4 separate regions of the Mus musculus genome follow, and regions 1, 3 and 4 are each reported to be linked to region 2. Evidence: microRNA targets listed by miRTarBase, many of them from high-throughput screens and not tested one by one. Region 2 holds a microRNA gene; each other region holds the end of a gene's coding sequence.
The links. The annotated mature microRNA mmu-miR-709 reads GGAGGCAGAGGCAGGAGGA and lies in region 2 at 1,978-1,996, opposite strand. An mRNA with a match to its seed (bases 2 to 7 or 8) in the 3' UTR can be bound and repressed. Matches are read on the target gene's strand: a 7mer-m8 pairs with bases 2 to 8, a 7mer-A1 pairs with bases 2 to 7 and ends in A, and an 8mer does both.

Region 1: miRTarBase lists Efr3b as a target of mmu-miR-709. Seed matches in the 3' UTR shown: 7mer-m8 at 1,931-1,937, 7mer-m8 at 1,937-1,943 and 7mer-A1 at 2,903-2,909.
Region 3: miRTarBase lists Col8a1 as a target of mmu-miR-709. Seed matches in the 3' UTR shown: 7mer-m8 at 3,348-3,354.
Region 4: the mRNA of Pfas is a reported target of mmu-miR-709. Seed matches in the 3' UTR shown: 7mer-m8 at 2,183-2,189 and 7mer-m8 at 2,189-2,195.

The regions. Positions count from the first base shown.
Region 1 is chr12:3,959,757-3,966,912 of GRCm38, reverse strand. It overlaps Efr3b (EFR3 homolog B), which reads left to right. Exons shown (of 23, transcript NM_001082483.1): 23 at 366-4,359. The coding sequence ends at 471. Pomc (pro-opiomelanocortin-alpha) reads right to left here. Exons shown (of 3, transcript NM_001278584.1): 3 at 6,270-7,020. The coding sequence ends at 6,445. Among named protein-coding and RNA genes, the nearest start is that of Pomc, 8.4 kb to the right of the region's middle.
Region 2 is chr8:84,081,163-84,088,162 of GRCm38, reverse strand. Mir709 (microRNA 709) reads right to left here and starts at 2,064; the gene lies at 1,977-2,064. It overlaps Rfx1 (regulatory factor X, 1 (influences HLA class II expression)), which reads right to left. Exons shown (of 21, transcript NM_009055.4): 5 at 6,941-7,000; 6 at 5,402-5,515; 7 at 3,989-4,081; 8 at 2,496-2,590; 9 at 91-457.
Region 3 is chr16:57,621,025-57,628,183 of GRCm38, reverse strand. It overlaps Col8a1 (collagen, type VIII, alpha 1), which reads left to right. Exons shown (of 4, transcript NM_007739.2): 4 at 1-3,928. The coding sequence ends at 1,273. Among named protein-coding and RNA genes, the nearest start is that of Gm51269, 14 kb to the right of the region's middle.
Region 4 is chr11:68,981,901-68,989,059 of GRCm38, reverse strand. Pfas (phosphoribosylformylglycinamidine synthase (FGAR amidotransferase)) reads left to right here. Exons shown (of 28, transcript NM_001159519.1): 27 at 370-693; 28 at 787-3,359. The coding sequence ends at 1,097. It overlaps Gm32384 (a long non-coding RNA gene), which reads left to right and starts at 5,492. Exons shown (of 4, transcript XR_001780244.1): 1 at 5,492-6,420.

The DNA.
Region 1 (7,156 bases), not on the chromosome of region 2:
ATGACATCAGAGAGCAGTGGTTCTCAACCTGGGGGGTTTGCATATCAGATATTTACATTATGATTCATAGCGATAGCAAAATTATAGTTCTGAAACAGCAGGAAAAATAATTTTATGGTTGGGGGTCACCACAACATGAGGGACTGCATTAAAGGGTGGCAGCATTAAGAAGGTTGAGAACCGCTGCTGTAGAGCCTATACAGGGAGTTTTGACTGAGCTGAAGATCATAGAACATCTTGAAAATCTGGGAACTCGTGGAGTGGCATGCATTTTAAAGAGAAACCAAAACCAGCTGCTGTGTTCAGTTGCACCAGGGTAGGACCCCAGCTCTTGGTTCCTACCTCTCTCCTCTGTGTGTCTCCAGGCCCCCTCCAAGCCCTTCAGGAACCATCAGCGCAGCCTACGGCCAGCCGCAAAACCACTCCATCCCTGTCTATGAGATGAAGTTTCCTGATCTGTGTGTATACTGAACTCCAGGAGACAGAGCTCCTTAGAGGACACAGTCTGCAAGAGGACCACCCCCCTGCTCACTCTCACCTTGGAAATCTAGCTGGGATGGCTAAGAACTTGTCACCTTGGACAGTGAGCAAAAGGTCCTCTCTGGTCCTCTGTGGTCCTCCTTCCTCCTTGTCGTCTTCCGTGAGAAGAGTCCAGCCACCTCTCCTCTGGGCTAATAAGCATCTGACCTGTCTTCTCTTGTATCAGCCAGGGACAGAGAATCACAAGGACATCTCCATTGAGAAGCAGAAGGGCCTGGGAAGCCTCCATTGGGGATGTGTCTATGAGGGAGTGTCAGCCACTCCCAAAGAAAGGAGCCTGATATCCACATGGTTGGTCAAAGGAGGGCAGAGGTGGCACCTGGGGAAATGACCCTGTGAAAGCTCAGAAGTGATGTCTGCTCTCGCCTCTTAAGTCTTGGTTGTCTTACCCAGCATCCCGCCTACTCTCTAGTTGTCTGCATTTCTTTTTCTACTATTAATCAATGCTGAGGACTTACAGCCAGAGCTGGGGACAGACACTGGAGCCAGCAAGGCTAGCAGAAGAGCTGGGGATGGAGAGGGGCTGGGTCTCCCAGACTGGGTGGCAGCTTCAGCAAAGCACGAGTGTGGTGAGTCTGTGTCCTGGCTGCGTAGCATCTTCCCACATCTCTGTCCAGAGGAAGCTTGGGGTGGGTCTTCTCTGGTTCTCTCTCTTCTGGATGTTTCCTAGTTGTTAAGTTTGGTCCCTGATGTCTTTGTTTCCACAGCCTCTGGGATGAGAGAAAGCTGAGCAAGCTAGCTGGTTCTAGGTGGCTGGAGAGGGGGGGAGGAAGTGCCAGGGCCCTGAGGCCTGTCTGCATCACTTCCTCTGGAAGATGCTCCCAGCAGTAGTGAGGGCTTGAGAGAGAGGCAGGCAGTTGAGCAAGTGGCACTTTAGAATTTGGGGAAAGAAAGATTTAACAACTAGGATTGAAAAAATATTTTCCCTCTTTGGGCTAAGTCTGAGACACTGGGGATAATTGGCCTTGCTTGTAGCCTGGGTAGAGGTGTTAGGAATCACTTTGGCTTCCATTTTCCCTATGTGCTACCTCCCTGTCCCTATGTGACTTGGTGTGCTGGGAGCAGCTGACCCAGGACTGGGTGGGTGCAAACAAGGCCACTTGCAGTTATCTTGGTTTGGCCCTTTCCTGATGTCCCTCGTGGTGTCTCCGTGCCTCTCAGAATGCCTAGCAGTGGGCATACTCCACGGTCCAAGATAGTCCATCTTTTCCCTTTCAAACTTCCCATACGTTTTCCAAGCTGTTTTTCTCTCAGGACCAACATTGCTCCAGAGATTTTTGGTTTGGTTTGGTTTGGTTTGGTTTTTTTCGAGACAGGGTTTCTCTGTGTAGCCCTGGCTGTCCTGGAACTCACTTCGTAGACCAGGCTGGCCTTGAACTCAGAAATCCACCTGCCTCTGCCTCCCAAGTGCTAGGATTAAAGGCAGAGATTTTGCTTCTTGTAAAGGGGAAGTGGTTCTGTGGTCTGCAGGAATCATTTCTAAGGTATGGTTGTAGGCAGTGTGGCCTGGGGTCATAAAGGAGAAGTTGAGCTCCTCGGGACCCTGCATAGTGACAGCCTGCTCACTAGGACAGGTGGCAACATTTTCCAGAATTAGGAGAACTTGAGCACATGTACTTTTCGTTGCATATGTGATAAATATCACAGATGGGGCACTCCTGACCCTTTCCCCAGAGTTTCCCATTTGTAATACAACTCTTTCCCATGTTCTCTGCACTGAGCTACGGGCTCACGGCTCCAGCATGGCCTGCATGATCTCAGGTCCCTGAGGACAACACCCCAACACCACTCACATGGCTTTGGAGCTGTGTGGCTACTGCTCAACCCAAGTTTATAAGCATGGCCTTGAAGGCAAGTTTAAGCATGAAGGCAAGTAACCTTTTAGAAACTAAGAAAATTTAAGCCTTGTGCTAAAAACTGTCTTTTTTCACTTGCCGGCCACATCCTCTATCCTCTGCTTAGCTAGAGTAAGAGTCCATTAGTTTCTTTATTGTTCCCCACTGATGTCATTGTCCACCCCTGAGACACCTTAACCCTAGTTGTGGATTGGGAGAGACACTTCCTTGGAGTCTTTTGAGAGCCAGCATCAGAACCAGATGCCTCCAGGCCCACACAGATATGTCTGTCTCTCACCTTGCCCTGGGAACAGAAGAAAGGCACAGCGTTCATGTCTGCAGAATCAATGGCTGCTCGGTCTAAGTATTTCTTTTTCTTCATGCCGTGGCTGTGTAGTAGGGACATGCTGCTTTTAGAGAACTGGTCACTTGTGTGCCCTCTTCTTGGTAGAATTGATTTAAATTTACATCCAGTAGGATACTGGGTTGCCTGTTGACAGGAAATGGAATCTGATCGTGACCAAGTATGCCTCAGAGTCAGGAAGTCTAGATGGTGGGTGCAGGAGGATCTGTCCCTCCATCACAAGGCAGGGAAAAGAAGCACAGCGAGTGGAGGCCGGGGAGCAGCCCAGTGCCCATGCTTTTCTAGCCCCTGGTGTCTGATCGCACTGTCTCAAATTCTGTTCTCTTTCCCTATTGTAAACCAGAATCCAAAGGAGCCAACAAACCTATTAAGGCCAAGCAGTCCCTACCCCACCCCCATGATCAAAGCACCCAGGGCTCTGGCCTAGAGAGTGACATCCTACTGACAGAATGTAGCAGGTGGGAGTGTGTTTAGGGTTAGGAGTTAACGTGGTTGACCATAAAAGTGTAAACAGTAGATTAAGAGAAAATGCCTGATCCAGAAGCAGCTGCTGTTTTCCTATGCTGAGTCAGTTTCTTGTTTTCTCTTGACTAAAATAGATGGTTTCATGACTCCTAAGTGGCCTCATCAGAAAACCTAGAAATGCCCCCTCTGGCTCCCACCTTCACGCAAAGCCGGAGAACGTAGGCTGGGACCAAGGACCCTGGTCAGAGCAGCCATATCCCATATGCTGCCTGTGCGTATGGGATATGTTACTGGTCTTGGTCCACACGATGCAGTTCAGCTGAAGTAGGATTGGAAAAGCCTTAAGACTCTTGACTTCCTGAAAAGAAGCCCCAGACTTCTTGAGGGTCCCTGGGTCGTGGTGCCTTCCAGTTGTCCTTTTGGTGTCATAGACCTGCCAACCTGCTACAGAGAAAGCTGCTAAGCCCTGTGGCTTAGCTGTGTTTGGGGCCTGGGGGAAAGGCAAGGTCTAAGCTGTGGGTCTGAACTTTGTGTTTAAAAGTAGATTTGGAGGTCGGGAAGGGGTCTGCTTTTTTTGACCTTCTCCAGCAAGCAGATTGCACCAAAGCAAGAATTCTGTCCTCGGAATCTGGGAATAAAATTTAGGGGAAACAGTCTGGTTTCTATGACCCTATAAAGCTGGGTCTTGTCTAAAGACTGCAGAGGGAAATCATGGGAGGCCCTGATCGTGATTCTGGGCACCAGCCTGGCTCCTCAGGGAGCACGGAGATCTTCTGAGCCCAGCACTTGCCCTTTCTGAACTCTTAATGACTGGAGTCTGGCACATGGAGTATAAAAGTGCACACCCATAGATGCTGCAGCCCATCATCTCAGTGTGTCCGAGTTTTTGAGACCTTCATGCCTGGCTGAGTGTGTGTATGTGTCAATGTCCGTGCATGTGTGTGATGTAGTTTATAGTTGCCAACATTGTATATATAATAGCTGACATATTTATATGTGAGTACAGAATTGGCACCTGTGGCAGTCTTCTATGTTTTAAACTTGTTGAATCAACTTAGTTTTCCTTCCAGGGAAGGGGGTATTCTGAAGTCATTTTTTAGAACTATTAGCTGTGGTTGGTGCCCTTTTCAAATAAATGTTAATGTTGTCACCATATGGCTGTCTATTTGAATTCTTAAAAGAAAATAGCGTTTTTCTGTTTGTGTGGATAAAAACAGAATTTGAAAAATATCAAGTGTACCATTGGCATTTATCCACCTCCACTGACCCTGACTTTACATCTGGCTCTAATGAAGGAGGGAGGAGAGGATATTACAGATTTGGAAACCTGAAGGGTGGATTCCCAGCAAGGGAGCATCCTCAGGAGGGTGCAGGCCATTCCCCACCTCCCACATTAGTGAGAACTTAATCAGATTTTCTGACTCCCCTTCACACCAGGACTCGCAGGGCTCACCATGTCCTTGTGAACTCCTACCAGACATAAGGGCTTGTGAACAAATACACAAATACCAGGTTTATGATGTCTAATCAAAGTGATGGGTATGTGTGCATGCCCTGTAAATGTGTCTGCAGAAGTGTGACTCAACTTTGTAGAGACACCACAAGGAGACAGAAGCAACACAACACAGGCCTGCGGAGCTTGGAGTTTCTCTTGGATGAGGGGACAAACCAGACACATAGCAAATCACCTGCCATCCTGGCCAGACAGCGTGCCTTCCAGCACAGAGGGAGAGGACCTCGGGAACCCTAAAAATAAACAGGGCCACTGGATGAGTGTATGCCTGGCCTAGTAGAGGTGGTCTTGAACCTAGGCTTGCATTGAAAAAAAAAAAAAAGATTCTGAAGGTGGGCGAAGGTGACACTGGGGATGGGATGGGGGTCCAGGCATGAAGAACTGAAGAGTAACAATGAGACCAGCAGACATGACGTTTCCTTAATCCCAGGAGACATGAGCTAAAGGCTTGGCAGGGGAATGAACATGATTGACATGTTCATCTCTATACATACATGTAGAATTACATATATCCTTTTTTTATACATGTTCATGCTCTATATATTTTGCCCCAAAAGCTTGCAACTAATGAGAAATTGGGCCATGGGACTGACAAGCTCTTTTAAAAATATATGCATTAATGTATATTGTATATAATGTAATGTCTGCATGGGCAGGAAAGCTACTGGAAGCAGGTTGGTTAGTGGACATCTGCAGGGAGAACTGAGAATGAAATTGAACATCACGGGGAAGGGGCTGGGAAGACACAGCAAGATAGGAAACCAATGCCCTCAAGGCTTGAGCCGAGGGACAGTGCATCTATCTCCTTGGGGTATAAAGAAGAGGGTGAGACCGTGTGTCTTAAGAGTTTATGTGAGGGCTGGTGAGATGGCTCAGCAGGTAAGAGCACCCGACTGCTCTTCTGAAGGTCCGGAGTTCAAATCCCAGCAACCACATGGTGGCTCACAACCATCCGTAACAAGATCTGACTCCCTCTTCTGGAGTGTCTGAAGACAGCTACAGTGTACTTACATATAATAAATAATAAATCTTTAAAAAATAAAGGGAAAGGAGAAATGCACTTTAAAAAAAAAAAAAAAAAGTTTATGTGAATAACCAAATCAGACCGGCTACCACCTCTCAATTCTCACATTTTCCTGAAAAAATGATGGAATCTCTATTTTCCTTTTATCCTCCCCAGAGCCCTTATACCAAGAATATAAAGAGACAGATAACTAATCCCTGGGAGGGTTCAGGAACCTGCCTGGGGTCACAGATAAGGACTCAACATTGCAGAGTGTCCCTGTGTCCCTGTAACTTCCTGAGTGACATCCCAGAGACATTCCCAGTGGGGAATAGGTCTTGGTAGCGCCACCTGGCTTCAGGTCCCTAAGGTCAGTCACTCTTGTAGGACTTGGCTTTGGGCCAGGCTCAAATTAAGCAGCCATTCTAGAAGAGTTGGACAGAGAACCACCCTGGGCCACCCAAACTATCTAGTCCCCCACCAAGAGTGTTTGCTGGGGCAAGGAGGTTGAGAAATGTTTTCTTTACATTCTAGCATCTGGTCACGTGATAGTGTAACTGGACAGTTGTGTTTTGACTTTATTTACGCAGTTTTTATTGAAGATCAGAGCCGACTGTGAAATCTGAAAGGTTTTATTTCCTAACACAGGTAACTCTAAGAGGCTAGAGGTCATCAGCTCGCCCATGCAGGGAGGGGGCCTTGGAATGAGAAGACCCCTGCACCCTCACTGGCCCTTCTTGTGCGCGTTCTTGATGATGGCGTTCTTGAAGAGCGTCACCAGGGGCGTCTGGCTCTTCTCGGAGGTCATGAAGCCACCGTAACGCTTGTCCTTGGGCGGGTTGCTCCAGCGGAAGTGCTCCACCCGGTAGGGCCCGTCGTCCTTCTCCGCGTCGGACTCCAGGACCTGCTCCAAGCCTAATGGCCGCTCGCCTTCCAGCTCCCTCTTGAACTCTAGGGGAAAGGCCTCCGCCGACTCGTTCTCAGCAACGTTGGGGTACACCTTCACCGGGCGCCGTTTCTTGCCCACCGGCTTGCCCCAGCGGAAGTGCTCCATGGAGTAGGAGCGCTTGCCCTCGCGTGGACTCGGCTCTGGACTGCCATCTCCCCACACCGCCTCTTCCTCCGCACGCCTCTGCGCCGCGCTGCCAGCACTGCTGCTGTTCCTGGGGCCGAAGCGGTCCCAGCGGAAGTGACCCATGACGTACTTCCGGGGGTTTTCAGTCAGGGGCTGTTCATCTCCGTTGCCAGGAAACACGGGCGTCTCCAGCGAGAGGTCGAGTTTGCAAGCCCGGATGCAAGCCTGTAGGGAGGCCAGGCGAGTGAGCCAAGCCTGGCTCTGCGGCCACCGTTTCTGCACCCTAATTCGGGTTCCAGTTTGGGCCTCAAGACCATCACACCTAGCAGTGTGGACTCCCGAGGTCCCACCAACATCCTGC
Region 2 (7,000 bases):
CTTGGGCCAAACTTCTGCTCTCTGAGTACTGCCAGGTTTTTTTCTCGAGTGTTCCCCCCACCCTCACCTCTGAATAAGGCGAACACTTACTGTGGCTGGTGAGGCACGGGTGGTGTGGGAGTAAGACTGGCTGGCATTGCCTAGCATGTAGCCGCCTTGGATCACGTAGGTGCCTGCTCCGCTGCCGCTGCTGCCGCCACTGCCACCACCACTGCTGCCGCCTCCCCCATTGCCCCCTGCACCCACACTGCTGTTGCTGGCCCCAGCCTCGCTGCTGGATGAGCTGGCGACAATTGGGCTGCCGGACACATACATGGGCACTGAGCCGCTGCTGGCCACCGTCTGGGAAGTAGCCGGCGTGCTGACCTGGGCAGCCGTGCCCGAAGCCTCATAGTAGCTGGTGCCTGCCGTCTGCGTGTAGATAGGCGTCTCCGGGTACTGGTAGGTGCTAGAGCGGCTGCCAAGAAGCAGACAGGAAGCAATGGTCACCACCTTGTACAAGGAGGCAGGGGTTCCAGGAGAGGACCAGAGAAGCCACAGAAACACCAGTGTGGCACCTTCACATATAAGGGACTGGGGACAGCCTGAGCACTGGATGGGCAACCACTTTCTTGTTTTCTAAAACATGTCTTTATATTAACTTATTACTTGGAGAGGGGCACATGTGTTCCGTGGCATACACACAAAGGTCAGAGACAACTTGTGGGAGGCGGGGCTCTCCTTCCACTGTGGGTCCTGGAGACTGAACTCAGACTGTAAAGCCCGGCAGCAAGCACTGCTGAGCCATTGAACCAGCCCTCGCTGGGCACTGAGCCACAGCACTCCAGCACAGGAATCACTCTCCTCACTGGTACTGAGCCACAGCACTCACTGGTACTGAACCACTGCACTCCAGCACAGGAATCAATTTCCTTACTGCAGAAGAGGAGAAAACAAGACAGGGTCCAGAATGCAGAACGTACTTCCTCGGCAACAACGACAAACAGTTCTCAGTCCAGGGAAGGGAGATACAGGAGGGAAGGCAAAGTACAAAGGACTGCAGGGTAGGCAGAGGGGCCGCCTTGGCTACCTCTTCCTGGCAGGGAGCTGCCCCTCCAACTCAGAATATGTCCTGAGTGCCGCATAGGGTAATAAGCCGCAGATCTAAGAGGGGCAACTGTAGCAAGCAAGCCACCCTAACATTTGGGCCCATCTCTGCAGGCTGCAGACTAGAGGGGGTGAGGCAGGAAGAGGAGACGCAACATGATTGCCTTGAGTCCTCCACTGGGTACCGATGGACAGCCAGAAACGAGAGGTTGGGATGAGGAAAAGACCACCCTGTGTGTAGGCAGAAGGCTCTCTGTGGGGAGGGGACAGGCAGGGCCACCTCTCACTTTTGCTCTTTGAGCCCTCCCAATGTGACAGTGATTAAAGCAGGAAAACTTGAGCCTTGCAGGTGGCTCAGTGGGTGGGGATGTTTGCCATCAAGACCGAAGACCTGGGGTTGATCCCCAAAGCCACACAGCAAACAGACTCCAGTGTTAGCATTGGCACTACGCTCAATACATGGTGCATACAACCCCCCCCCATCATCCCATGCACACACTCGAACACATGTGTATACACACACACACACACACACACACACACACACACACACACACACACACACACACACACACACACGAGGGCCAGCAAGGTGGCTCTGGGGTCAGAGACTCACCACATGAACCTCTTACCTAGTACTTGAGTTCTGACCTCAGGTCATGACCTTGCTTCTCAGGTCTGATAAGCAAGAAGCAAGCCATTTACTGATTTATCTCCCTAACCCCCAAGAAAAATTGTAAGACAGAATATGCAAGCCCGAGGAACTGGATTTGCCCCTGCAACCTGTGTAAAGGAGAGAGAAAACGGACTCCTCTAGGTTGTTCTCTGATCTCCACCTGCACCACAGCACATGCACTCTCCCCACACATAAGTCAATATAACAAAAGACAATCCTCCTGCCTCTGCCTCCCCAGTGCTGCTCAAACAGGACAGTTCTATGCTCAGAGCACTTCTGAGTAGAAGCAGAGAAACGGGACACACTAATTACTCTGTGGGACACTGAGGGTCAGATTGAGAACCTGTGGTTCCAGCACGAGAGAGGAAGTGTCAGGCAAATCTCTGAGTTCAAGGCTACCCTGGTCTACAGATCAAGTTCCAGGGCAGTGAGGGCTATACAGAGAGACATTGTCTCAAAAAAAGTTTATGTTGTAAAAATGTATGTATAAATACATATATGTATGCTTTTTCTTTCCCCTTTTCCTGCCTAAAATCCAGATCCATCTAACTGCACAGCTCCTAATTTGTGGAGGTGCCTTCCCAATGGGCCAGTGTCTCTTCTGCTACCAGCTGCCTATATTCCTGGCACCCCACAGGTGTGGGGCTATCACCTGAGCCTTGGGGGCCAGCTGGGAGTTAGAATTGTGGCCCTAACCACATCTGAGCCCTCCTTCCACCCTCTGCCCACTTACATGGCGCTGGCTGTGTAGCTGGCATCGCCACCTTCCACGTACTGCACCTGGCTGGAATACACGTGTGGGACAGGCACCTGAGGGAGTTGCTGTACCTGAAGCAGGAGGAAAAGCAGGGTCATGGGTCAGGGCTGACCACCACCCACGGGTTCACTGATGCCCACATACATCCCCATCTAGAAGGTTGCACATCATGGTTTTCTGAACAACATGGGCCAGAGGTGGGAGGCTTAGGTAGGAGGCTTAGGTGGGGCCAGGTCTCAGTTGTGGCTGGAAAACAGGAGGTGCTGGGATTCTCTGCTTTGGCAAAGAGGTTTCTAAGGCTTATGAGCAAAGGAGGGGATACCAGACAGAATTCTGCAATGGGCTTGAGAGGTGGGTTTGCAATCTAAAAACCGGGCCTGGGGGTTTTCTGGAAACCAAAAAGGTTTCCCAAGCAGATTAGGGGTGGAGCCTGAAGAGGGATCAGTTGATAGAACAACTAGAAACAACTGACAACACCTTAGGGGCAGGTACTGGATAGCCTACCTCCACCCCCAACCCTGGTTTGCAGGAGCCGTGTCTGGGACCCAGTCCCTGAGGCAGAACAAGAATGACTGGCAGCACTTTGGGGGACAGGGTAAAGACATCTCACCCCACCCGCCTTGGGTTGCAGGGGCGAAGCCTGGGAGCCTGGACTTGAAGGCGAGGCAAAGCGGCTTGCTGGGCTGAATGCCCTTCCCCTGCCCGCCCTCCGCCCCCTGCCGTGCCTCCGCTGTCCGCCGCCACCTACTTTGAGGGCGGTGCCGAACACTAGCACCTGGGGCATTCTGTGGATCCTGACCCTCAGGTCGGGGCTGGCTCGGGCCGAGAGCCCCCGCTGTGGCTCGAAGACCACCCTCTGCTGCGGCAGGAGCAGGTGTGGGGGCAGCATGCCCACCAGCTCCACCCACTGCTCCACACCCGGCTCGTAATGGAGCGGCTGCTGCTCGCTGCCTAGCTGCAAGACCTCGCCGCAGCACACTGGCCCAGGCCCGGGAGGCCGGGGCGGCGGCTCCGGCGGCGGCGTGGGCCGGGTTTCTTGCTGCTCTGCCTTCCTAGCGGGAAACTGACTGCCTGAGCTCTGGAGGACAAACAGAGACACTGGGGTATCACCCGGCTGTGAACTCATGGCCACCCGAATGAAGATTCCCCACTTGGGATCTCCTTAGAGAAGAGAGGAACGAACTGGGCACTATCAGAAAGAAGCGGAATTCGAATCCAGCCCTCTTTCAACAAGACCTGTGTCCTGAGTGGTCAGGTGCTGGGATGGGGACGGATTCAGGATGAAGTCTGAAGCCGAGGGCTAGAGTGAAACCTCACTTCTGCAGGGCTTCAAACCTCAATTGCCCCCACTGTCTGCCCTTTAGGGTCCCCAGCTGGCTCCATTCCTCCCTCTGGATTAGGTGCCTGTACCTCCAGCCACAGCCCAGGACTAGTCTGATTGCCCCGACATAGACAGATAGGACACGCACCTCTTGAGCAACGTGAACTGGCTGCAGTCCCTGCACAGTCAGCTGCTGCACCGGGCCAGCTTTGGTCTGTGGAGTGGCCTGGACTACTGACCTCTGGCAAAGAAGGGCAAGGAGAGGCAAGTTCGAGTATGGTAACCATGGCAACTAGGGCAGCCTGTCCCATGCATGCTCAGAACAGCCGTCTTGGGAAAGGCTGTCATTCTTCAGACAGAGAGCAGCCTTTCCGTGTGGGGTCCAGTTAATACAGGCCTTCCAGGTCTCTTACTGCCTGCCTCTGCCATCTGGAGGTTCAGAGTGGTTCTTGCACGGGAAGGGAATACCTGTGGATCCTTTGAATTAGAAGGTTCCCATTTCCTCTAGGGAAGAGCCTACAGCTCGGGCCTATTTGAGGTTTTCAGCCTGGTACTGGGGAACCTGGGGTCTTATGCATGCTAGGCCAGCTCTCTACCACTAATCTACACCCCAGCACTGTTTTTCAATTTTTATTCTGAATCAGGGTTTCACTACATTGTCCAGACTGGCCTTGAAGTGGGGATCTGGCCTGAGTCTCTTGTAGTTGAGGCTATGAGGACACACAAACCATGTCTTGTTTTCTTGAAAAGCCAAGAATCCCAAGAGTTAAGCAGTTAACAAGGAGATACAAGACCATCCTTGCATCTTGGCCTGCTCAGGCCACTGTGATGGTATTAGGAAACTCAGTCTCCTTTGGAAGGTTGAGCACATCGTGAGAATGGCAGGCTTAAGAGATGGATCTGTGGTTAAGGAAACTGGTTGTCCTTCCAGAGGACCCAGGTTCAATTCCTAGCACCGACACAGCTTTAACTCCACGTCTAGGCACAAACATGGTGCATAGACCCACATGCAAGCAGAACACCCATGCTCACTAAAAAAAAATTAAAACAAATGTAAAATCTGAAGAAAAATTAAAACAGATGTAAAATCTGAAGGCCTTGGTGCTTCTTCTCCCCAGAAAGCTGGCTTTTTGGTTTTGCAGAAAAGAGATGACACCCAGGGCCTGTGTATGATGGGCAAATGCTCACCCTGCAGGCTTTGCTTTTCTTTTCTGTCTGTCTGTCTCTGTGTGTGTGTGTGTGTGTGTGTGTGTTTGTGTGTGTAGAAGTCAGAACTCAGTTATCAGGATTGGTGGCAAGTGTGCTTTACCCACTGAGCAATCTCTCTGGCCTACCAGTGTGTGTTTTCAAAGCCATAATGTGCCCTGTGAGGCACCTCTACAACTGTCACAACTAGGGACGCTGAATCTAGATAGAGGCAGAGAGAGGCTCTCGTCAAATGCTCACATGGTAGGCTGGAGCTGGGTCCATCTGCTTAGCTCCCACAGGCCAGGGACCCAGACATAGGTGGCTACTTGGCCTATACCCATGGCCCTAGCTACTGCCCGCCCTGGTCAGGCACCTCTTGGGTGACAGGGACACTCTGCTGGACGCTGTGGACCTGTAGTTGCTGCACAGTGGCCGCAGGAGTCCCAGCTGTCTTGCTGGTGGAGTTGTTGGCCTGCACTGGTGACCTCTGTAAGAGAACAAACAGAGACAATGTCAGGGCCAGCTGTGCTTGTGTCTGGGGCACCCAGGCTCTAACAACCTGCCTCAGAAGGACTCTGGAGAGGGTGGGATAGCCCACAGCAGCCACAAATACTGCTCTGCAGGACTCTACCTAGATGGGGCTCCAGGTGTCTCAGCCTCCATGAGGGCCAGAGGCCACTTGTAGCTTCTATATCAGAAGAGCTGCAGCAAAGGTGAGAAAGAGTAGGCTGGGAGCTAGTCTGGTCCCGTGACCCAGCTCCTCCTGATCCTGCCAGGCTTCCCAATGGGACAGTAGTAACAACACTGAATCTACTTTCACCTCTTGCTGCCCCCACTGCTTGCTGCAATGGATGCTTCAAGACCCCCATTTCCCAGAGAGAGATGCCCAGGGCCACACAGTGAGCCTGTGCTTGCTCTAGGGCATGCTGCACTAGTGTGGACTGCAATTCTGATGTGAGCAAGTGGATGAATCATGGGTTTTACTAGTTCTTCCTGAGACAGGGTCTCTCTATAAAATGCAATTTAGCACCACACTTGAAACCTTCCTGCTTCAGCCTCTGTATGCAGATGTGTGGCAACCCAGTGCCATTAGCTCTGTTATACACAGGAAATACTGGGCTATAATGCTGGAGACCTGCCCAAAGACTCAGCTAAGCCTGGCATCTGGCCCTGTATTATTTTTCCTTCCTTCTTTCCTTCTTATTTATTTATTTATTTATTTATTTATTTATTTATTTATTTATTTATTTATTTATTTATTTAGAGAAAGTGTCTCACTATGTAATAGCCCTGACTGTCCTGGAACTCAATATGGAATCTCATGGAGATTCCAGTCTCTGCTTCCCAAATGCTGGGATTAAAGGGCCCTGTCTGGCCCTGCACTCTTAATCTAAGCTCAAGACCATCTGCAGCCCACTGCCTCCAGGCTCTCCTCATTCGTGTGTGTGTGTGTGTGTGTGTGTGTGTGTGTGTGTGTGTGTGTGTGTGTGTGTGTTCCAAGCTCTCATGATGGGACTCTATTCACTCTGAAGCTGGAAGAGAAAACTCTTTTACTTCCGGACTACAGCTCTCTCAACATCGGCTGGGATGGCAGGGCCAGGCAGACATTAGCTGGGAAACCCACCCAGAGTCACTGGAGCAGGGTGTAGGACTCAGGAGCTGCAAGTGAACTCAGGGCAAAAGAGCTCCAGCTGAAGCCAGGCACAGCGGTACACACCTGCCACCCAGCACTCGGGACTAACACGGGAGGAGCTCACGGTAGAGACCAGCCTGCTCCACATAGGAGGTTGGTGCTAGCCTGCATAGCACTGTAACACCCTGCCTCAAAAAAAGGTCATGGGGGACAAATATGCTGCTGGGGCCCATGGCTAGAACAGAGAAAGATGGGACGACGTCAGTGAGGCACACTTACCTCAGGAGCAGAGTGCACCTGCTGGGCACTGTGCACCGTCAGGGAGACCTGGCCACTCTT
Region 3 (7,159 bases), not on the chromosome of region 2:
GGATGGGATCCCGGGCCAACCAGGATTTCCGGGTGGTAAAGGGGAACAAGGATTGCCAGGGTTGCCTGGACCCCCAGGCCTCCCAGGGGTCGGAAAGCCAGGTTTCCCAGGACCCAAAGGGGACCGGGGTATTGGGGGTGTTCCTGGGGTTCTTGGGCCGAGAGGGGAAAAAGGACCCATTGGTGCTCCTGGAATGGGGGGTCCACCTGGAGAGCCAGGCCTACCCGGTATCCCGGGTCCCATGGGCCCTCCAGGTGCTATTGGTTTCCCTGGACCCAAAGGAGAAGGTGGAGTTGTAGGACCACAGGGTCCACCAGGCCCCAAGGGAGAGCCTGGCCTCCAAGGCTTCCCTGGGAAGCCAGGTTTTCTTGGTGAAGTAGGTCCCCCTGGCATGAGGGGTTTGCCTGGTCCTATAGGACCCAAGGGAGAAGGTGGTCACAAAGGGTTGCCAGGGCTTCCCGGTGTTCCAGGGCTGCTTGGACCCAAAGGAGAACCTGGCATACCTGGGGATCAGGGTCTACAGGGTCCCCCAGGGATTCCAGGGATCGTAGGACCTAGTGGCCCTATTGGACCCCCTGGGATTCCGGGCCCCAAAGGAGAACCAGGCCTCCCAGGGCCCCCTGGGTTCCCTGGTGTAGGGAAGCCAGGAGTAGCAGGACTTCATGGGCCCCCGGGGAAACCTGGTGCCCTTGGGCCTCAAGGCCAGCCTGGCCTTCCTGGACCCCCAGGTCCTCCAGGACCCCCAGGCCCTCCAGCTGTGATGCCTACACCATCACCCCAGGGAGAGTATCTGCCAGATATGGGACTAGGAATTGATGGGGTGAAACCTCCGCATGCCTATGCGGGCAAAAAGGGCAAACACGGAGGGCCAGCCTATGAGATGCCTGCGTTTACTGCCGAGCTGACTGTACCTTTCCCACCGGTGGGGGCCCCAGTGAAGTTTGACAAGCTGCTCTACAACGGCAGACAGAACTACAATCCGCAGACAGGCATCTTCACCTGTGAAGTCCCGGGTGTCTACTACTTTGCTTATCATGTTCACTGCAAGGGAGGCAACGTATGGGTTGCTCTCTTCAAGAACAACGAGCCCATGATGTACACATACGACGAGTACAAGAAGGGCTTTCTGGACCAAGCATCTGGAAGCGCAGTACTGCTTCTCCGTCCCGGAGACCAGGTGTTTCTCCAAATGCCTTCAGAACAGGCTGCTGGACTCTATGCCGGGCAATATGTCCACTCCTCCTTTTCAGGATATTTATTGTATCCCATGTAAAAAAAAGAGAAAAAATAAGAGATTTAATAGAAGAAAAGAAAATGACACACCAAAAAAAAAAATCAATTGAAAACAATGCTTCAAAACATTTATAATAGTTGGAAAGTTATATTTAAGTGAAAGTTTGGACCATCATGTACAAATAAAAACTAAAACGCATGTTTAGTCCTGTGCACAGCAGATTGTAATGGGATCATGGGACCGAGGTATGGATGAAGTACTGACACGTGTGTTGTACCCAGCGGACTCATTAGCTGTTCCATGTTATATGATTTCATAACCTGCTTATTCAAATCAGTCAAAATATCTCAGTCTGGAGCATCATCGCTAATGAACAGTATTCATTCTTTGTGCTCCCTTGTAAAGGTATTTTTGAATATGCCTTAAGAGGTTGATGGTGAGAGTTACATACTGTATTTATTTGCATGCTTTCCTCTCTATTTCATGCAGGTGTTTTACTGTGGGATTTTGGAGGGTTCTTCTGTAGTGCAGGGTCCATGGTAATCTCTAGTCCAAAGGATATTTCTCTGTGTTAGAGGCAATGCTTTGAGCTGCAGGACTACCTAGTCAGAATTGTGTGTGGATGTGTGTGGTGTCCCCAAAAGAAAAGCTATACCAATGGCCCATTGTGTATCTGCTCAGCAGTCTACTTGCCTAGCAACTGGGTGAGATGCAGGGCAGGAGATGCTAGCCTGGGATGCAGGGCAGAGCCCACAGGAGCTCATAGTTTAGCTCAGAGTCATTAAAATATCAACCCATCTAAAGGGTTTCAGTTCGGAATTTTCTGTAACTTTTCTTTTTTCCTTCTTCACCCTTCCACATAATATATAACATAGCCTAAGCAATATAAACAAATCTTTTTTTTACAAAGCCTTCCCTCAAACAACTTTGCCATTTCATGAACATTTATTATTAATAGCAATTATCAGTTGTGTAAAATAAAACAAAAACACTAATGTGTCCACAGAGCCAAGTGTAGTGAGGTTTCACCTTGTCTGCACCTGTCTTAGTAGCTGTCATTTTTTTTTCCCAGTAACTATGAATTTTAAAACTATGACTTATGCCATGAGGTTCCAAAGTCAATTGCCAAAAATCCAAACCATTCTTTTTTTTTTTTAATTTGGGGGAAAAAATCAGAATTACATAGGAAAAATTATATTTTAAAAGAGTAATTATAAGGTTTGATATTCAAAAGCAGGCATGTTGCTTCCAGCAATAGGGACTACGGTTGTAGGAAGATAATTGTTTCTTTAACATCCGCCTGGGGAAGAGATAGCTGGAGTGTCATAAGCCATAGCACCTCAGGCCTACGATGCCACTGCACGCTTAGCACCACAGCCAAACCATGTTGGAAAAGAGAAATTGTTTTTTTTCAGATTCTAATTAAGGCACATAGTAGGTTCTTTGGCTGATGCTCAAAACACGACCAGTTGAACGTTTTCCGTTCATCTGCTCTTGGTTGCTTAGGGGAATAATGTGGAATGAGAGCAATAGAATGTATTCTACTTTTCTCAAAAGTTAAAAACCAGGAGCTGAAGAGAGAGACATAGATTGGAAAATGCACAGATAAATACAGTATAAAGCATGGTCTATTTAAAATCTGAATTATTTTTACCACCACAGTTCTTCTTGCCACGGCTTACTATTGGTCTTTTCCCTTTATGAGGCACAGACACCATTTTTTTCTTGAATTTTTAAAAAAAGAATGTGTTTATTAGCACAAGGTTTTTCATTCATTGTTAATTACACAAGAGCACCTTCGAATCCAAACGAATTTCCTACCAAACCTTCATTTGCAAAGTAAACAGCATGTCTTTGGACAGCTTTCCTTGGGGTCGCTCCTAAGGACACTGGCTTATAGCTGGTCACTATGGAAATCATATGGGTCCCTCGCTCTTTCTGCTCAATAGCTACGTTGAAATGGTCTGGCCAGATGGGTTGTAAAGTTGCTTTTATCTGTACATGTATGGTATTTTAGTTTCCATAAAGAAAGACAGAAATTATCTCTTAAGTTAAACCAAATTTCACTTTTTGAGATATCTTCCAACTTATTTATTGGTTGTTACTCAATTGCCTGCCTCTGTGTGTGTGTGTGTGTGTGTGTGTGTGTGTGTGTGTGTGTGTTATCAGGCATATGCTTCTAAGCTTTTAAATGGAGGAGGAGCAAAAATCTATGCCAGATACTGTATATTCTACCATGGTGCTAATATCAGAGCTAAATGATACTCCATTTAATTTAAAGAAGAGTTTTAAATAATTATCTATGTACCTGTGTTTCCCTTTTGAGTGTTGTCCATCATGTCCACAGTGGTGTGAAAGCAAGTGAATCAAGTATGTGTTCTACTTTCTAGGGACAGTACTATGATCACTTTTTAATACAAAATTAACTAGAGCTTTTCCAAGTGAAATGGACCAAACTGGCATTGTTCTATTTAAACAGAGAGTTTTAATGCAGTATGACGTCCCACAGGGGAAAGGAATGTCTGTAGAGGACAGTTGTCCTCAAATATTTTACAGAAACAAAGAATGATGAAAAGACCGGTAACTTGCTTGAGTTCCCATGAATAGATTTGAGACTGAATGGCAAATCAATTTTGTATTTAAATTTTTTGTACTGATTTGAAAAACAGATCATTAAATATCTCTAAAAATATGTTTCCTGCCTTGTTCATAACATTCAACTGACGCTATTTGAACATAAAGTGTTTCTTAGTAACACATTGTAGTAATCAGCCACTGTATACAGGGTCTAAAAATAATCACAGCTTGAGCAGGACAGATTATTCCTCTTGAGTTTAGTAACTCTGTAAATAAGCAGTCCAGATCTCCTCTGAGGACCTAGTCATTACCCCACATTCTTTCTACATTCTTGTCTCTCTAACCAGGTGTGTTGGCCTCCCTCCCCATTGGTGGGAGAAGTTGGACCTTAGCAATCACATGCCAACCTGTGGGAGGTTCCAAACCTTTTATCTTTAAGAAATCCAACCCAGCGGCTTCGATTCCACCTTCCATACCAGCAGCCCTGAATTTAGTCACATCATAAGGTGCAAGACATTAGTAGTTCTCAGTCAGCCCTGCTGAAGTAAAGGCCAGTTCTGTTCAGAAGAGAGAAGGAAGAACAGACTGTAGCCTCCTGTATTAGTCAACCTCACCATCACGGAAGAAATTGCCATAGATCTCTTCAGGAGACAGCAGTCTTCAAATACTCCAAGTTGAGGGAAAATAGTTGTGAGTGGATCTTCCAGGCTGAAGCACATGTGTTTCAATAAGTTAAAGCACTAGTAAGAAAAGCATTCTATTGTGATGACAAGTTCTAAATGCCTAGACTATGATAAAAGGATTGTTCAAATCATTGTAGGAGTGAGTGTGTACCACCAGTCTGAGTGGTTAACTGGTTTGAACCATCTTACTAGAAGACCAACATCACTTATATCCTGACAAGGCTCAAGTTTCTCTCTACAACCAAAGACACTACCATCACATTACCTGTGGTCAGGGACAGGATCTTGGTTGTTGGCCTCTTATTCAAAGGATTGAAATAAGAGCTCATACTGAGAAGAAATTTTATCCAAAAGTAAATCAATAGTACAGATCAGGAAGAAATAAACTTACCAAGTAGTGACAGTCACATATATGAGAAAGTATCTGGGCTCTTAGTTATTGTTTGAGACATCCTTGGATGGAGTTCAAGAAGAGGGAATAGCATGAGCAGCTATTATGATCAATAAGTTAGTTACATAATCATTTTTCTGATGTAAATGTCCCATCCCATAGTGTCTTAGTTTCTATTGATGAAATTAAATACCATGACCACAAGCAACTCAGGGAGGAAATGGTTTCTTTGGCTTATGCTTCCAATGGTGGTCACCATTGAAGGAAGTCAGGACAGGAACTCAAATAGGGCAGGAACCTGGAGGCAGGAGCTGATGCAGAGGCTATGGAGGAGTGCTGCTTACTGGCTTGTTCCTCATGGCTTTCTCAACCTGATATCTTACAGAACCTAGGACCCCCAGCTCGAGGATGGGACCACCCACAATGGGCCAGGCCCTCCCCCATCAATCACTAATTAAGAAAATGCTCTACTGGCTTGCCTACAGCCTAATCTTATGGAGGCATTTTCTCAATTGAGGTCCTGCCTCTCAGATGATTTTAGCTTGTGTCAAGTTTATGTAAAACTATCCAGCACATGCAATGCATCTGATTTCCATCACATGGATGCCCAAGAATGCATAGGCATATGATCTGATCGTAAATAAGGGATTCTTCCTAAAGCTTTACTTGAGGACACAATTTTGGCCTGCTGTGAACACACACAAAATCAGTTCAGCCTATGTCTGACTTTCTATACTTTGTACCTACATACATAGGAATCACGTTTGAAGAGAAACAAAGATTGATTGTTTTTTTAGCAGAACAGAAATTTACCTTTTTGTTCATAGAAGGGTATATATGTGTAGCAGGTGAAGGTCCAAGGTGGATAGATGCATTTTCCATGAGCGTATGCAGTGTATAGTACATGCACATAAAAGAGCTAGGCTGGTTGTCAAGTGCATTATTAGAACGGAGGGTATACATAGCTCAAACCAAGTAGAATCTTGTGTTGCTAAACTCTCCCATATGTGTTGGTCTGTGTGTCTACCTCACTGCTGGGATGCCAGAACCCCACCAACAAGTGGCTCAGGGAAAGCAGAATTCACTCCAGATGGGGTCCCAGCCAGTGTTCCAATGGACAAGAAACAGTGAGATCTAGGACTGATGCTATGGTTCTCAATCTCCTATGTACCCAGCTGCCACTGGGGACCTTGAGGAGTTGGGGAAAGGCGTCCAGAGGCTTGAGCTTCCCCTACATGCCAGGCAGGAAAGGGATGGCTGAGACCAGGATGTAGATGAATTTGGTTTGCTTCTGGGTGAGTGCCTAAAAGTTCAGAGGGACTGGAAGAGAGGCCTTCTATAGGAGATCTAGGTGTGGCTCTTCACTTTAAGGCCTCCCTTGCAGTAATCCTTGATGAAGGAGAGGGTCCTTGCTTGTCCAAATGGTTTTGTTCCTGGCAGATGTGAATGCATAGATCTTACTCAGGGTGAACCAGGGATGAAATACCTTTTACAGGGAGGGATGCCCAAAAAGGGAGGCTCATTGTGTAAGCACTTGAGGGCCTATCTAGATACCTCACTAGCAAGGAGAACTCTAGGTTTTTATATTATGTGACCAGTTGTGGTGGTCCTCTCAATGTGGTGTCATGGTTACAAGTTCCAGGACAACTAGAGCCTGGTTGGGAGCTAATTCAATGCCTATTATTCTCAATGATGAGATAAGCCAGGGTTTGAACCTGCTTCAGCCTTACCAGTTCTTTTGTCTGGTGGCATGGTCCTCTTGCCCCACACATACGATTGCTGTCTCAACCTCTCTTTGATGAACTTTCCAATAACTTATTAGGGGAACTGAAGGCAGAAGGTTGGTCTTCTTTGAACTGCTTCATGATGAGTTGAGGGACACTTCCAAAATGGTGTGTGTGTGTGTGTGTCTGTCTGTCTGTCTGTCGATTTGTCTACCCTAAGCTAAGAAAAGGAAGGAAACTGAGATCAGGGTCTAACAAGATTAAACCATGTATCCAAGTATGAATAAAAGAAATGATGTGATAACAAAAGAAAGGGATCAGAGAGATGGGTCAGTGGTTAAGAGCACTGGCTGTTCTTACAGAGATCTGGGTTCAACTCCCAGCACCCACATGACAGCTCACAACCATCTGTAACTCCAGTTCCAAGGAATCTAATACCTTCGTCCATCTTCCATAAGCACAAGGCAAGTATACACTGCATATATGTATGTACATGCAGGAAAATCACTCATATACATAAAATAAAATTTAAAAATCTAAATATACAAGC
Region 4 (7,159 bases), not on the chromosome of region 2:
TTTTTTTTAGATAGATTTATTTATTTATTAGATTTATTAATTTATTATATATATGTACACTGTACCTGTCTTCAGATCTCATTATGGATGGTTGTGAGCCATCATGTGGTTGCTGGGATTTGAACTCAGAACCTTTGGAAGAGCAGTCAGTGCTCTTAACCACTGAGCCATCCCTCCAGCCCCTTTATTATTATATCTATCTTCAGATGCACCAGATGAGCGCCTCAGATTTCATTACAGATAGTTGTGGTTTTGGGAATTTGAACTCAGGACCTTCGGAAGAACAGTCAGTGCTCTTAACCACTGAGCCATCATCTCTCCAGCCCTTTCTCAGGCCTTTTCTCACTCTGGCTTAACTGTTCTTCCTAGGTTGGGCAGCTGCGGTGACCTTTAATCCACAGGCCAGGGAAGAGCTGGGCCGATTCCGAAGGCGGCCGGACACCTTCAGCCTGGGCGTGTGTAATGGCTGTCAGCTGCTGGCTCTTCTGGGCTGGGTGGGAAGTGATCCCAGTGAAGAGCAAGCTGAGCCAGGCCAGGACTCCCAGCCAACACAGCCGGGCCTCCTGCTCCGCCACAATCTGTCTGGGCGGTTCGAGTCCCGATGGGCCACCGTACGTGTGGAGCCGGGGCCAGCCCTGATGCTCCGAGGGATGGAAGGCTCTGTGCTGCCCGTGTGGAGTGCTCACGGGGAAGGTCAGGCTGGGAAGGCAGGGGAGGGTTTGCAAGCTGGGGCTGGGGCTGGGCCTGAAGGAACTTGGCCTTCACTCTCTTCTCCTTCACTTCCAGGCTACATGGCATTTTCTTCTCCTGAACTCCAAGCCAAGATCGAGGCCAAGGGCCTGGTTCCTCTGCACTGGGCAGACGATGATGGGAACCCCACAGAGCAGTACCCTCTGAACCCCAATGGATCTCCAGGGGGCATAGCTGGTATCTGTTCCCAAGATGGCCGACACCTGGCACTCATGCCGCACCCTGAGCGGGCTGTAAGGCTTTGGCAGTGGGCATGGCGACCCTCTCCCTTTGATGTTCTTCCCACCTCCCCGTGGCTGCAGCTCTTCATCAATGCTAGGAACTGGACCCAGGAGGACAGCTGCTGAGGAGGCCGCATGACCACCCTGGCCCACAGCTCACCCTTTGACTCCGTTGCCTTCTTTCCCCATTGCTTTCAGGAGTATCCCATGTGATTTCCAAAAGCATCTTAGCAAGAACCAAAATGCTGGGATGACCTCAGCTGCATTGCTCATTTTAGCCTTGCCCCTGCAAGAGCTGCTTTCAGCTCTTGAGTTTAACATGGATCTTCAGCAAGCGGCTCAGGCTCCGAGGACAGCTGACAGGCAGAGGGGTGGGCAGAGATTTACTGGCAGCCCTCCCGGGATCATCGCCTTGTGATCCTTCATTCTCTTGGTTAGAGCTCTGAGTGAGCTCTCACATCCTCGTTTTCTTTGGCTTTGTGAGATCGGCTTTCAGTCTATAGCCCAGGCTGGCCCTAAACTCAGAATTCTTTTGCGTTACCCCGGGTGAGTTGCCAAGGCGCTTGGCATTGGCTTAGGGTCTAGGAATAATGTACATCAGTCCCTCCCAGCCTCTGCCCAGCTGAAAAGAGCAGCTTTCCGGATCCCTTTTCAGACATGCACTGCTAGTTGTTAGGAATCATTGCTTCTGTCCATGCTCAAGGCGCTGACCTGTGCCTATCTCAGATCACATTCCTGATTCTTGCTTCTCTTAATTTAGCAGCCACCTTACAGTAGTTGATACCTTCCTTCTTAGAGCAGAGAGCCCTGGAGCTTGTTTTTTGTTGTTTTGGCTTTTCAAGACAGGGTTGGGTTTTTGTTTTTGTTTTTGTTTTTTGGGTTTTTTTGTTTTGTTTTGTTTTTATGTGTGTATAGCCCTGGCTGTCCTGGAACTTATGTTGTAGACCGGCTGGCCTCGCACTCAGAGATCCATCTGAGTGCTGGGGTTAAGGCATGTGCGACTACTGCCTGGCCATTCATTTTTCTTCTTGTTGCTTGATCAGTAGTGGTGCCTGACATTGGTACTGACCTAATGGAGTTTGTAGTCTTTTTTTTTTTTTTTTTTTTTTTTTTTTGGTTTGGTTTGGTTTCAGGCAAGGTCTCTCTGTGTAGCCCTGGCTGTCCTGGAACTCACTTTGTAGACCAGGCTGGCCTCGAACTCAGAAATCCACCTGCCTCTGCCTCCCGAGTGCTGGGATTAAAGGCATGCGCCACCACGCCCGGCTTGTTTGTAGTCTTAATAGGATTGAAATAATAATAGCTCCTTAGCTTGTACTGCCAACCTAAATAGGTGCTGGGTAACTTATGTGTCTATCATAAAGATTAAGGTATTTGAGAGGTGTTTCCCAGTTAACAAAGCAAAGTTTAGTGATAAACTGTCTATGATTGGTTCCAACTTAAAATGAACAGCAAGGCGCCCTACCCACCCAGCTACATCTGCCTGTGAAGATCCTGCAGTCACAGATCACGTCTTGGTAGTAGCTGTTGTACCGACAGCCACCTTCATCATCCGTTGCTTCCTACTTACTTGTACGGTAGACTCGGGTAGCCCCCTAAGAAGCTCGATGTCATGATTAAAGGAGTTTCCTTATAAAAACAGACTAGCATGTTGGATTTCTAAATATTTCAGGGTTTGGGGGAATGCAGAACACTTGTGCTTCTGCAGAAGTAGCACCCCAAGAAGGTACTAATGGTGAATAGGTGTTAAGCTGCAGGTTGTATGTCCATCTGAGTATTAGAACACTTGCCTAGTATCTGTGTTTCCTGAGTTTGATTCCCGTCCAGCACCACCAAAGGAAGATATTTGGAGATGGGAAGTCAGATCTTTCTCCGTTTTGCATTGCAAAGTAACTTTTCCTAACTAGAGTGATTCTAAGGATTTTGTTTGTATTTTCGAGACCCATATGATGTTCTGGCTGGCTTTGAACTCATAGCTGAGAGTAATCTTGAAATCCTGGTCTTCTACCAAGTGCTGTGTTCTGACCTAAGTACCATTTTGGACATGTGAACATTCCCTTTGATGCTGTGGAAGAATATATATTTTGCTTATGGTGGTACATGCCTTTTATCCCAACACTTAGGAGATAGGGGCAGGTGGATCTTTGTAAGTTCAAGGCCAGCCTAGTGAGTTCCAGGCTAGTCAGGACACTGTCTCAAATTTATATATTTAAAGTATTTATGAAAGTATTTTTGTAAGCCTGAGTAGGCAAGATGGCTTAGTGCAGAAGTTTTCAACCTTCCTAATGCTGTAACCCTGTAATACAGTTCCTCATGTTATTGTGGGCACAACCATAAAGTTTTGGTTGCTATTTTATAACTGTAGTTTTGCTGCTATTAAAAATCATAATGTAAATGTCTGTTTTCCGATGGCCTTAGACCCCAAGAGGATCGTGACCCACAGGTTGAGAACCGCTGGCTTAGTGGGTGGGGGTATTTGCTATCAAGCTTAATGCTTTGAGTTCAGCCCCTGGAACTCACGTGGTGACAGGGAAGAACCAACTCTGCAGTTGTGATGGCTTACTTGATGCGCCATGGCACATGCGCACAAGCACACACACCTGTTAGCACACATGTAGACAGGTGTGTGGTACTTGATGCGCCATGGCACATGTGCACAAGCACACACCTGTTAGCACACATGTAGACAGGTGTGGTGGTACTTGATGCGCCATGGCACATGCGCACAAGCACACACACCTGTTAGCACACATGTAGACAGGTGTGTGGTACTTGATGCGCCATGGCACATGCGCACAAGCACACACACCTGTTAGCACACATGTAGACAGGTGTGTGGTACATTCCTTTAGTCATATAAACCACTCAGTGATACTTTAGTCTTCGTTAATGGAAAATTTCCAATAAATGGAAAAAGATGCCAAGTGGTCCAATGGAAGTGTGTTGTGCGTGCAAGGGCCGATGAGTCATTCCTGGTCTTGCGTTCACCTTTTAAGACTTACTTTACACTTGTGTGGTTTGCCTGTATTTGTGTGTGCCTGGTATCAGAAGAGGCCTTCAGATCCCCTAGATCTGGAGTTATCAATGGTTGCAGAATTGAAACCAGGTCCTCTGAAAGAACAAGTGCTCTCAACAGCCGAGCCATCTCTCCAGATTTACACCTGAATCTTTAAACACCCTTTACAATAGCATCTAAACCTCTTAAGCAAGTCCTGTCCTCGTTTCACCTCTAACAGATTTTTAAACAAATCCTTGGTTATATACAAGGCTGTCACAGCAGCACAGAGACCTCGGCCCAAATCACCATTGTGATCCCACCTTAAAGTGAATTCCAGGACAGCCAGGGTTACACAGAGAAACCCTGTCTCAGAAAAACCAAAACCAAACAAAAACCCAATGCTTTAATCAAAGATATGTCTCCCAAGCAGTGTAAACTCCACAGTCCCAGGAACTCTGTCCTAACAGTGTCAGTAAGTCTATGTGGAATAAATAAGTAGATATAAAAGTTGATTTATTTTTCCCAGGTACCTTCTCTGTGTAGCCCTGGCTGTCCTATAGTTGCTCTGTAGATAAAAGGTGTGTGCCGCCACCACCCAGCTCGCATAGATTTTTGTTGTTTTGTTTTTTTAAGTATTTGTCCTTGGGGCTGGAGAGATTGTTGCAGGAAATATCTTTTAAAAAAAAAAAAAAAAAAAAAAAAAAAGAACGTCACATTCCTGTGCTTGTGCCTTTGGGGTCTGGCCAGCTATGCACTGGCAAGCAATGGCCAACCTGTTTTTAATCTCATGGAGACTCTTGACCCAGAACTCCACAATCTCTCCACCCAGCTTGTTAGGTTCTCACTGGTGGGTCACTACCACACCAAGCCCATGCTTCAAATCCCCTACAGCCTTTGTGGTGCACATCTGGCAAACCCACTCCTTGCTGCCGTACCTTTCTCTCTTGAACCCAGATGAGCTAGCTGAGTGAAGGAAAACACAAAACAAACTTAGTTCAGAAACAATGGTAACTCAGTCTCTGGGCACAACAACTAAAACCTAATCTTGTAAGCTTTATTAAAATGTGATTCCTCCAGCGGTGAATCCTTGAGGATCCACCATGGTACTGGGAAACTCTAGCAGGTACATCTTACTTATGTAAGATGCCTTGTGCTGTCCCCAGTCGAAAAATGGTTATAAGTACTGGCTGCTCTTGCAGAGGATCTGGGTTCAATTCCCAGTAATTCCCAGCATCCACATGGCAGCTTACACTGTTACTTCAGTTCTAGAGGATCTGACACCCCCACACAGACAGACAGACATGCAAACAAAACAATGTACTTTAAGTAAACGAAGAGGTAGCAATATGAGATAAACCATGTAACCATTTAAAGATTCATCTATTTATGTAAATGAGTGTTCTATCTGTAAATACATCTGCATGCCAGAAGAGGACATCAGATCCCATTGCAGATGGTTGTGAGCCACCATGTGGTTGCTGGGCATTGAACTCAAGACCTCTGGAAGAGCAGTCAGTGCTCTTAACCTCTGAGCCATTGAGCCATCTCTCTAGACACACATGTGGATTTTTCTTTTCTTTTTTAAAGATTTTTCCTTAATAGAAAGTGGTGTCAGTGGACTGGGTTTGTAGGTAGATTGCTCTGCAGTTCTCCTTTCTCTTTGGTTGGTTTGTCCAGTCATTCTGTGTCATCAGGCCAATGAAGGACACTAACTTGACATTAGTTTCTCATCGTTTCTCCCTTTGTATCTCTCCTCTCCCTTCTCTAACTTGTCTCTCTTCAGTTTTATAGGAGGATAGATATATCACAAAATTAGGCACATTACTGTCACTTTCTGTCTGTGACCTGGTGATTGCAAGGATGGCAGGCAGCCAGCAGGAGGCTTGTGGACAAGAGGGCCAAGTGGGGACTACCAGATGAGAGTTGCTTTCTCTAGGAACACCCCAACCACCAGGTACCCTCTGCTCTCTAGCATCACTCTGTGCTTCACTACAGACTGTCACGGGGCTCAATAGATCTCTCTCTCTCTCCCTCCCTCTCCTACACACACACACCATCACCACCACCACCACAAACAAAAGACATGCCCATACAAGGATGTGGGTACTAGGCAGCAGTGAGCCTGTGGACTGAAGATGTTGCCTCCAGGAGCTGTGCCAGGGTCTAACTGTTGTCTCATAGCTGATGTTCTTGAGACCCTGTGGTGTTAAACAAGCAAGTCTATGGTTGGCCACTCGGGGGCAGCAAACAGCCAGAGGTGAAGCTAAGGAATTGCTGGCTAGACCTAGGCATTTCTAGGGCTTAATCCAGGTAAACTGGTCTTTAGGATTGCCTTTGGCACAGGGTCACCCAGCACAAACAGACATGAGTAACAACATCTGTCCGTTTGGCTTCAGGAGCAGGAAGGGTGGCACAGAGGGCTGTCTGTGAAGCTGGCTGGGGCCTGTCTACCAGGTAAGGGTTGTGAAGAACCTTGGCTTTGTGGCACACTGGCAGGAAGCTGAACCAGGACAAGTGATTTCTTTCTTTGACTTTAAAATGCTCTCAACAGCACAGGGTTCTGGAGGAAAGAACACAACAGTTTGCCTGTATAGAGCGCTGAAGAGGTGTGGCAGCACTATAGGAAAACAATATTTTCAGAGGCTGGACAGGGTATGCTAACTAAGGAACCAAATGGTTGAAAATGAGTCTGTCTGGGCCAGGAAGAGCCAACTAGAAACAAACCCAGAAACACCTAGCAGAACATGTTAAGGAATCAGGACAAGATCCAAAAACAGTGGGAAAGCAGTTGAAGAGGTGGATGTAGCGATGCAGGGATGAACAGATCTGTGATTTGGCTGTTTTGAGATAGGTGCTTGTGTAATGTACACTACACTGGCTGTAAACTCACTGTATAGCTGAGAGTGGCCTTGAACTCCCAGTCCTCCATCCCTCACCTCCAGAGGGAGGGCCGAGGTTACAGGAGTGCACGACCACAGCTGGCTTTGTATGATGCTCAGAATCGAGCCTTGGACTGCATGCATGCTAGACAAGCTACTGTACTGAGTTTTACTCTCAGCCAAACTTGTGACCTAGAGATTATAGTAGCTGCAGAGAAGGAAAGAGGATGGGAGGTGGAGAGAGTCCAGTGTGGAAGCTATATACTGACCACATAGCAATCGTGTTGGCCTGGAAGAGTAGTAGGCCTTAGGGA